3 linked regions of the Arabidopsis thaliana genome follow. The protein of the gene in region 1 interacts with the protein of each later gene in a pairwise test. Each region holds a gene or a part of one and is shown on either strand. Other genes may lie near its edges. The genes, in order: AT5G05120, MDA1 and BZIP60.

What was found.
Region 2: the proteins of AT5G05120 (region 1) and MDA1 interact in a two-hybrid assay, tested with the Arabidopsis thaliana proteins (one large-scale study listed by BioGRID).
Region 3: the proteins of AT5G05120 (region 1) and BZIP60 interact in a two-hybrid assay, tested with the Arabidopsis thaliana proteins (one large-scale study listed by BioGRID).

What each region holds. Positions count from the first base shown.
Region 1 is NC_003076.8:1,509,377-1,512,481, forward strand, and holds AT5G05120 (C2H2 and C2HC zinc fingers superfamily protein), read left to right. Parts: upstream 1-1,855; coding exon 1,856-2,461; downstream 2,462-3,105. Other genes in the region: AT5G05113 (uncharacterized protein), read right to left, coding at 357-614; AT5G05130 (DNA/RNA helicase protein), read left to right, coding at 2,740-3,105.
Region 2 is NC_003075.7:8,376,321-8,380,079, reverse strand, and holds the start of MDA1 (Mitochondrial transcription termination factor family protein), read right to left. Parts: upstream 1,653-3,759; 5' UTR 1,507-1,652; intron 1,315-1,506; exon of another isoform or gene 1,276-1,314; 5' UTR 1,266-1,275; coding exon 1,195-1,265; intron 1,108-1,194; coding exon 1,058-1,107; intron 957-1,057; coding exon 738-956; intron 658-737; coding exon 1-657. Other genes in the region: AT4G14600 (Target SNARE coiled-coil domain protein), read right to left, coding at 2,002-2,163, 2,775-2,831, 3,173-3,296, 3,448-3,518. UniProt on the Arabidopsis thaliana protein: Transcription termination factor required for processing and steady-state levels of plastid transcripts. Involved also in chloroplast transcriptional pausing, a general feature of chloroplast genes.
Region 3 is NC_003070.9:16,135,402-16,139,160, forward strand, and holds BZIP60 (basic region/leucine zipper motif 60), read right to left. Parts: upstream 2,063-3,759; 5' UTR 2,059-2,062; coding exon 1,622-2,058; intron 1,112-1,621; coding exon 661-1,111; 3' UTR 322-660; downstream 1-321. Other genes in the region: AT1G42980 (Actin-binding FH2 (formin homology 2) family protein), read left to right, coding at 1-55. UniProt on the Arabidopsis thaliana protein: Transcription factor involved in the unfolded protein response (UPR). Acts during endoplasmic reticulum stress (ER) by activating unfolded protein response (UPR) target genes via direct binding to the UPR element (UPRE).

The sequences.
Region 1 (3,105 bases):
AGACGCACTTTCTTAATTTTCCATAGTACAGTGTCATAAGCTTCGTTTTATTATCGAACTAGGTCATTGCTGCAAGTGACCCTTCAAAAATTGCACTAGGAAGAAGCCTAGGTGACTCAGAAGCGCAAATTGCAAAATGCAAAAGATTGCACTAGAGATTTTACCTCTAATTACAAGAGAGATTTAAAAGGCAAAGAGAAAATCTGAAAGCCGTGGTTAAGTTATTCATTAAGACAATCCATCAAAGAAACCATGAGTTTCAGTTGCGAAAGTGTGTTGGACAGCCTCAGGTACCAGTTGCGATTTACGAAATGTGTTGAAAGTGTGTTATAGTCCCCTTTTTCCTTCTCAGGTAGCTAATAACCAATCAATATCTTTGCTTTTGAAGGAAAGACAGGTCGTCGCACCATCCAATCTACGTGCTTCAGATCTTCTCTGGTGACGGATTCGTGCTCCTTCTCAATCCTCATCAACTTGTTTAACGTGTGCGCTATTCCCTCCGGCTCAGTGAGAGATTGCAGTTTCTCGAACATGCATGATTCTCTTCTTCTCCATCCTCCTATTTTCCACTTTTGTCTTCGCAAGTACATCAACCCTGATCGATGTCGGAGCATACTCCGTTGTACAGACCCTTTTCAAGAGATGGCTACTAGAACCAATGATACGGCGGAAGTTCATCGTCAATCCAAGCTCTCAAAGTTCACTAACCCTAATTATAATACATATAGCTTTCTTCTTATCTCCAATTAATGTGCTATTTATAAAAATGTTTACAAAGTTTATAAACCTTGATTACATAGATGTTCAATATCATAAGTTTAATCCAATCTGTATATTTTAATGCTGAAAAGATAGCTAAGAAACTATATAGATTTTAATTTGGTATGTTAGAGTTGAATATCTTGTTTAAACCTTGACTATACATAGATGTTCATTATCTTAAGTTTAATCCAATCTGTCATACTAAGCCATGTATATCACAAGAAAGTCTGAAAATGTGCTATATGTCATAGTAAAATTATTAAGTTAATGCTTTTTTGATGTGAGAATCAGCATTATAGATTTGATGGTAAAATGCTTCCATCAGTTTCTCTACTCTTATTAAAAGGTAGCCAAATTTAGTTTAATTACTTACTTTTAATATATATTTTCATTATGTTGATATGAAAATAATTTTATTTTTATTACCTCCAAAGTGATGTATATGAAAATAAATAAAATTGCAAGCAATGGAAAACAATAGAAAACTTAAAGGTAAATATTTTATTTAAGAGTTGAGATAATTATGTACTAAAAGTTTACTACATAATGACACTAATTAAATCTTTAATTCTTGTTTTCTAAAGTTGACTACATTAAGATCTACTAATTAACTCTTTAAACTCTTCTAAATAATTTTGTTTTCAACTATATCTCAAATTTAATAGGGCAAAACCAAAATCTCCCTACTCACTTTGGAAATCAGTAATGTTTGGAACTAATTTTGACTAAATATGCTAAATGCAACAAGTATTAATTCAGAAACAAATTTACTACGCAAATTCGGCAAATGTAAAATGTCAAATATATATAGTAATTAAACATGTTATGTGTGAGTTGTCGAAATGATAAACTAGTTTGTTAAGTACTTCAGTTAGTCTTTGTTCTTCATCATGTTTCTCTATAACTAAGTCCCTTTCCATATTTCATCAATATGCATTTATCTTATTCAAACATCATAACATTACAACATATAACTTTCCTTGATATTAAAAGTGCATACAAAGTATTAAATCTTTAAATACCTATCCGGGTGCAATAACATATTCAAGCCATCAAACCTAATTTCTAAAAGCCCGATCCGATCGACAACGAAATGTTGTCCTCGGACTCGAATTACGCTAGTGATATTAGCGACGATGCCTCCGCCACCGGATCGATAGAGAATCCTATATACAAATGCAAGTATTGTCCTAGGAAGTTCGATAAAACACAAGCATTAGGTGGTCATCAAAATGCACACAGAAAGGAGAGAGAGGTCGAAAAACAACAAAAAGCATTTTTGGCGCATTTGAACCGACCAGAACCAGATCTTTACGCGTACTCGTATTCGTATCATCATTCATTTCCTAACCAATACGCACTCCCACCGGGATTTGAACAGCCTCAGTACAAAGTTGATAGATCATACAAGATGTCCATGGTCTACAACCAATATGTGGGATCCTCAAGCTCTAGCTTTGCAGGACTACAAAGTGACCCAAGTCAAGGAATGAACCAGGATTGGACCTTTACCGGGATCCCATTCCTACCCCAATCTCAACCTCAACCACTATCGTCACCAATATGTTTGGATCTTTGCCTTGGCATTGGTAGCTCCCAAACCCAACCACAACCTCAAGAACCAAATGATGCAACAGAAGAGATGGATGCTGAGAAAGAAAATGATGGTTCTTCCCTTTCTCTCTCACTCAAACTGTGAAATTGTAATCTTTCCCTTTTAAGTATTTCTTAAACTTTCATTCCTCACCTTTGTTTTCTTGCATAGTATTATCGGCTTGTGTCAAATCAGTACTTGTGCACTTGAACATTGTAATAAACTTGGTTGTTATTTGCATTTGAATTTCATATAATAATAAAAACTTGATATTGTTCTGACTTTGGGGTGTCAAATTCTATTTATAAGAATTTGAGATGCAAATCTCAATTTTAGTTACTTTATGATACCAATATAAAAAAAAAAACCACTCTTTCGAAAGGATGCGGGTTTTGAAATACTTTCGAGCTCCTTCTTCTCTCCGTCATCGTTCCTCTCCCATGGCTCAGTTTCTTCGACGCTTCTCTTCCTCTCCCATGGCGAACGAAGACGAATTCCAATCTCCGGTGGAACCATCACAGCAGCAATCTCAGGACTGTGTTTCGGAGTCTTATCTGATAGGGTTTGTTATCGCGAACATAGTAGGGTTAAAGTACTATTCCGGCCGAATCAACGGTCGAGAGATGGTGGGTCTGGTTCGAGAACCCTTGAACGTATATGACAATAATGCAATCAGAGTACTCAACACGCGATCTGAGCAAGTGGGTCACATCGAGCGTACAGTAGCAGCCGTTCTCGCGCCGATGATT
Region 2 (3,759 bases), on another chromosome or scaffold:
AACTCATGATGTTTGGACATCGGGTTAGGATTCTCCCTATCTGTTCTTCTGTGAGACCAGTTTGTGATAAGAACTCGACAGTTGAAGTAAGTTTCTGGCGGCTGTAAGTGAGGATGGCTGGGAAACGGGAAATGATCTTTGCCCATTGGTTCTTGTCAATGCCAAGTGTCTCAAGAAAGGCCATTGTCGGTTTCAGGTTATCGGTTAGGCTGATTCCGCATATCTGTGGGCGTTTGCAGAGGATTGTGGGGATATCTGATTTAGGAATTCCGAGGTCTAGAAGGAATTCCACAACAGGTTTTATTTTTCCATCGAGGCTGTAATAAGGAAAGGCAGCGAACTTTCGAGTGATCGTTTTGATCTGCTCGAGGTTTAAACCGAGGTCAAGAAGGTAAAGGGTCTGAGGACGTAATGCACCTTCTGTGTCAAGTTCGCTGACTCGAGACACCGCTCTGAGTTTACGAGTGTCTGCAGCAGAATCTGTGTCACCACGAGGTGGTAGGACAGAAACTGGAGATGAAGCAACAAGTCTAGGTTCAGCTGGTGGATCAGGGAAGCTCACAACAAGCTCAGCGAGAAGATCACCATGTTCTTCATGAAGTTGTTCGAGGTAAGGAATGAGAGAATCTCGAATCTCAAGTGTAGTAAGCTCTCTTCCTGTTACAGTCAAACTTTTAGAGTTCATCGCCGAGCTCTTCTCATTAAATAGTAAAGGTTTTAAAGAAGAAAGATCGAACCTACGAGGTATCGAGCTTTATGAACAGAATGGAGCCTGGACACTAAATGGTCAATGAATAGATCGGATTTGTTGATTAACCGAGAAGAGAGACTGTTGCTAAGACCTTGCTTCTTGAAGAATAGAGTTAAAACAGCTTTAGCTTCTTCTTTCTCTGCTGCGATCAGATTTGGAGGTACAGGTCTTGGACTAAACTCTACTCTATTCTTTAAACGAATCCCTATAAAAAACAACATCGTTATGAAACCATATTGTTTTCAAAAATTGTGAAAAAAAGAGATAAGATTCATTTTCTCCATTGTATTATTTTGGTTCACTCACCATTTGTTTCTTGTCTAAAAGAGAGTCTTCCCGTAAACCAAAGCTGTGCTCTGCAAATTCATAGAATCAAGCACCAAAGTCAAGAAGTGCAATATCTCAAGAAGTCATGAATCGAGCTCGAGTCGCTCATAACTAACCTCGTACTGGGTTTTTCTCTTCTGGCGACAAGGAAAATCTCTGAAGGTCCAAGTTGACTAAGACTTTGCATTTTCTGGTTTCTGTGAAACAAAGAAGCAAAAGCCACCACCTTTCAATAACTGTTCAATAGAATTAAATTAACGCTTCAATGAACATAATCCCAGCTACGAAACAGTTCTCAGTTGCAGATTCTTAGTTTTAAATGTTGCTACGGATTTGATGCGAATCGGATATGGTAAGAGCACATGACAAGAGACGAAAGGAAACAATTTGTGGTAGAGAGACGGATCAAAATCCAATTAACGACTAACCTCGTTGTCGATGGTAGACGATGAGGCCCTTTTTCCCGAGAAAATTTCAATCGATGACTGAGAAATCAACTCGAACCCAGGAAGAGCTTTAGCGCTAGGACTGAGAAATTAGAGGATTTTGAAACGACATGATTGGAGGAGACAGGGTAAAACATTAAACCTTCCAATTGGTTGTAGAGATTTCGTAGAAAGCAAAGCCATTGGGCCCTGTTAATACAACCAAGAAGTAGTAGTATTTGATATTGAACCAAAGTCTAATTAAACCGGTAATGGTTAAGATTGATTTGGTTATCGACAAAAGAGTTTGTTCGAACACAAAACTAAAAGTCTAAAAGTGGGAAAATGTTATGTTCTATAATCTCTAGAGAGTAAGCGAATTCTTCTTACTCCAGTTTGTACAACTCTCGATGATCTTTTAAACTTGAGCAAGGGGATTTCTAGATTTCATTCTTCGCCGATTGAAATGAAGATTCATCGTAGGTTTGGAGAGTCTTTTTATCTTTTGAACATCTTAGACCAGATGTAGAGGACAAAGAAGACGAGGAGAGCGAAAAGAACCACGTGCATGATGTGGTTGTTGCCACTACGGATTATGCTCATGTTTAGTTTCCTTATGTTGTTCTTCACCCCGGCTTGCGCTCTGATCAATGTCATTTGCTGTCACACAAAAACAAAAAGCTTTATGTTTCAGACAAGAACACCATTTCTCCCCCTTGTTATTTGCATCCTAGAGTAATTCTGTATAACAGCACTTAATGCAGTCTCACGCAACAAAATCTAGCTGATGTTCTTTAGGTAACAAAAAGAAAAACTAGAAACAAATAAGAGCAATGTTCATCTTCAACATCATACTCTCCTTTATAAGGAAACCGGTATATATAGACTCAATGATAAGCTGCAACCATTTTGTAGTGCATTCACTTAACTAGCCGAGATTGAAGATATATATTCCTACCCAGTACCCACCAGAGTTCAGACCAGTCCCTGCGTATAAGTCTGAACATAATCTAAACAGTCCCTTTTATCAAGATTTTCATTGGTTTGTAAGCTATGGTATAATTTATACATACGTTGGGAATGAAGCTGTAGTTTCCCAAATAATGACAGCCATTTGAAACAAGATAAAGGTAACCCATAACTCGGATAATAATAAGTGATTAGCCTACAGTGTAAAGACTAAAATGCATGTTGCTGATGTAAGGTGTTTACATTCAACTTTACTATGATGGATGAATAAAGAACTTAAGCGACATCTCTCAACAACATACCAGTTCATCTAAGAAGTCTCTCTGAAACTTTGCTTCTGACCCAATTTCTTGAGCAATCTGCATAAAAATATGCGATCAATGGACTAACCAAAATCATGAGGCATAAGTTATGTTCAAAAAGGTAAAACACAAGGAATCGTAAAGAATGTCAACTGATTCATTTAAGAAGTATGGTATATAAAACAACAAGCAAGGAAGGTTTATAACAGACATCAAATATGTAGAATTCAATTGGTAAGTCAACTAATTAATCAGATACTCACTGATGAGTGAACATACATACTATCATAGTACTCTGGAACAAAAACACATATACAGAGCCACTTTCAAAACCAAAAGGCTGTAATGAAAACACAGACAAAGGAGAGATAGAATTGGTAACTAGGAGGGTTTCTTACATTTTTCAACTGCCTGACTTGGCCATGGAGACCTGTGATCTCATCATCCAGGTCAGAGTGCATCGGATCAATCCTCAGCTGGATTTCTTCTGAACCTGCAGCATTTCTAGTACTAAGCCCTTCCCTGCAGCCACAAATACAAATCAATAGAGCTATAGTTCCGCAGAAATTATCAAAATCTATGACCCATAAATCTCTAGTTTTCTCTATCCAAAAGATCAGAGAAAGAAATTTAAAAGCAATTCCAAAACGAGAAACTGATAATAAAGTTATACCTAGATCTGTATGGAGCGGCTCCGCCATAAAGGGAACCACCCGCACCGCTTCTGTGTGGATTTGACGCCATCGACGCAAAATCTAATCGGAATCTGCTGAGGTTTGAAATCGAACGCGAATTGAAATTGAGGAAGAACAAAGACGGGTCAAAATGTCGGGTTAATGGGTCTAGTCGTTTAATTTAAAACGCTGCGTTTTAGTCTAGTTATATCCGTAAACACAATGACGTTTTATTTAACCGTTGGATCATATCAGTAAGGAGAGCTATCGACGGTTAAAGATTCTTTTAACCAAAAATTTAATTGAACCGG
Region 3 (3,759 bases), on another chromosome or scaffold:
GAAGGAGATACTGGAGAAAAGAAAAATGAACATCAAACAAAATGGGAACCTCTAAAGAACCGTAGCTAGTTTCATCGACAACTTCTATGCTGCTTAGATGGAACTGCAAACTATCTATCATCTCTTCTCTAGTGCTTATGTACTAGAAAATATTTGAACTTTTTTACAATTCGAAGTTTTACCTTATCTTCATTGTTCTAATAAAACTATCTGTTCGTTTTTTTTTACCTGCCTACGCATCCGTACCAAACATTTTACAAACAAAAATCTCTGTGACAATCCCAAAGATTGGCTCGTCTGAACCCTAAATAATATCTGATGACAAAAAAAAAAAAAAAAAAAACTGTGATAATGTCAAATGAAGCAAACATGTAAAAACTAGCATGAGGAAAAGCTTTATCAATGTTAATCAACCTAATGAATTGTTATCTAGTAATTAGAAGTGATATTACCTGAAGTTATGCCTCAAAATCAACATTTTAAAGGCAGAAGCATTATTAGATAGATATCATCCATAACCATAAGACCCACATTCACTGTTAACTTATCGATATTAGACAGAAAACTTTCAACAGCGAAATACAAAACAAGAGAGAGAAAACTAAAAGACACTCATCTACAACTCAAAATGCGCAAAAGAAGCAGTTAAAAAAGGCGTTGTCACGCCGCAAGGGTTAAGATTTGGTATTTCATCCTAGGCCTCGAACCCTTACATCTCCGACTAACGCCGGTATAAGACGGTTTGCTACTACTCCCGAGCCCGTTTAGAACCAGCTTTTCTGGTTCTGGACGTAGGAGGCAACACTTTGTGTGGGACATATAAGGGAATAGGCAAATGAAGTTTACTCCCAGAAGCCAAAGCAGGGAACCCAACAGCAGGGATTCCAACAAGAGCACAGCAGACTCCTGCTTCGACATCATGGTAGTATTATTGCCATTACCCTTTTGCAAACAGTAACGTAGAGACTGGTTTTCAGCAACGAAGCACTCAAGCATACGTCCTAGTCTCAAGCATTCTCTTTCGAGATACTTACTCTTCTTCTCTAAATCTTGTACATATTCCTTCTTCCTCTCTCTCGATCTAACCGCCGCATCTCTATTTCTTACTCTCCTGAACCACAATCACATCCCAATTATCAAACCTCAGTTTCTTTTCATAGCATAAAAGGCTTTAACAATCTTAAGTTAACCAAAATACACATACCTATGTTTGAACATAATCAGCTCATGAATATTAACACAAGATTAACAATAATTAAAGGCAACCAAAATTTAAACAGTCATTTACTTAAATGATTAGTTCTCAATGTTGTTATCAAAACAATAACACACTTATAGCAATCTAAATGAAACAAAAATCAACATCACTCATAATCAATCAACTCTTCAACGTCACACATACATAAACATAATAACATGAACATATCACAAGATACGCAAGCAAAATTTAAACACTCGTTTCTCAAATCTTCACTGTTACACATACGTATCTCCTAGTTCTCAATGTTGTTCTCAAAGCATAACACACTTTTAACAATCTTAATGAAACCAAAATCAACACAAACATACAAAATCCATCCATAAACCCTAACTTTTCAAACAAGAGTAAAATTAGATATACCTTCTTCGTTTTTTAGCCACAGCATCATCGTCTCCTTCTTCGTCATCATCATCATGAATCTCGCTACCAGAATCATTAGACTTCTTCTCAACAACCAAATCCGAATTCTCCTTCCCGGAATCATCAGCGGCGGCGGGAGAATCGACGGTTAGAACTTTATCAGCCGCCAAATCAACGGAGCCAGAATCGCTAGTTGGATAATCAACGAGTAGATCCGCTATGAAATCTGAAACCGATTGCTGATCCAATTCCACAAAACTCTCCTCTTGATGATTCTCATCGTTCATCAATTGATTCTCGATTTCTCCGATCCATGAATCCGGTGAAGACTGAAGAAAATCCTCCGCCGGAAGAGAATCAATTACGATTGAAGGATCGAAATCGAAGAAGAAATCTTCATCTCCGAGTAAATCTATGCTTCCAAATTCCTCCGCCATGGTCAAAAAAAAAAAAATATACAAAGAAGAAAAAAAAAAGCGAATTTAATTTAAGAAATTGGAAGAGAGATGAGTTATATAGGAACTGTGTTTGAGACTTTTCTAAATTTCTTTGCGACCAAGTAAATGTGTAGAAAAAGAGTCAGCATGACACGTGTTGATTATGGACGCGTTTTTTGAATTTTTAGCCAATGATGTGATGGAGTGTACTGTGTTATAGTGTTTCTGTTAGCAGAGGATTATTGTTTTTATGTGCCGTCACACAACCAATGAGAAGGCTTCAAGCTGGAAGAATAGGATCACAGCCGAACACGTGTACTCAGTGAAGTGTTCGTGTGATTAATAACTCGGTTCTAATTCACTTCTTTTCTCTTGGTTTGATTTTCTTATTTTCGGTACAGTTATGTAAACCAGTTAGCTATAGTCAAAACGATGTACATGTAGTTGAGATGGACAATGAGACCAAGGAGAGCAAGGCTTCTTTGACCATTTCTCAGAAATCAATCAAAATTCTTCAGTCCCTTTTTCTCTTTGTCACCGTCAACATCTTCCACGATTGAATCTTTGTTCTCCGAGAGGACTTTTCTTCCTTCGTGACCATCTTCTAGACTTTGAAAGTTATCAATTTGTTAATTAAAATCATATATTATATTGTCAATTTATGTTACATTCTGGATTATCTTCCTTATTCAATTTTAAATGAGTGATTAATCTTCATTCAATCTCACATGAATGAATTTGTAAAATTTTCAGTTCTCTAGCAGATGAGTGAACTAATTATATATGTGAAAGTTGATCTACTATTTTCATATGAATGTCACGTTATTATTTAATTATTTTCTATGTGTTCATTCAATAATTAATGTAAGATTTACATTTATTATTAATTATTTATCTTTAATTGTATCAATTCTAAATTTATTTTTGTTATTATATGTATTTTAAAGAATAAATATATTTTACTATTTTCTTCATACTCATTTAAGGTTTATTTGCTAATGTTTTGTAGTCATAACTTAAAATAGGAATAGATATTACTATAGTGAATTAGCTAATGGTTTGGTAGCTTATTATCATTAATCTCTATCTAAATAATATAATACAGAGGATGAGGAGTATACAGAGATCCATCCTCAAATTCCTGATGTTTATATATTTCCAACATTAACATCTATTAAATTGTTTTACGATGAAAATTATTTCAAGATTGTGTGAATAATTACACTTTTTCAAAAAGTACTTAAAAAGTAGTTTAACATTAAAAGCAGTTGATGATTATATATTTTTCAATAAAATGTTAAATTATATTTTAAAAAAAGTAGATAAAGTGCAATTTCAATTAGAAACGAATAGAAGACAAGTTTTAAACACCAATAGAAATATTAAAAAGCTAGATGATGTTAGTTTTAACTTCTGGACAAAAACCAAATTTGGAGGTCGTATCTCTTGTCCCCAAGAAGTCTGATTGATGAGATTTGATTTTGGACTTGCTTATCAACCGAACTTGTCAATAATAGCATTAGTAATTATAATTTTAGTAACACATTATTTACATTAATTATAATTTTAGGACAATTGTATTAACCTGACTTGTGATCTAATGACGTGGTTCATAAAGTCACTTATCGAAAGTTAATAGTGTATATTTTCTATGATATAGTTCTTTTATAATGCTAATTAAATACCTATGAAGAAATATAA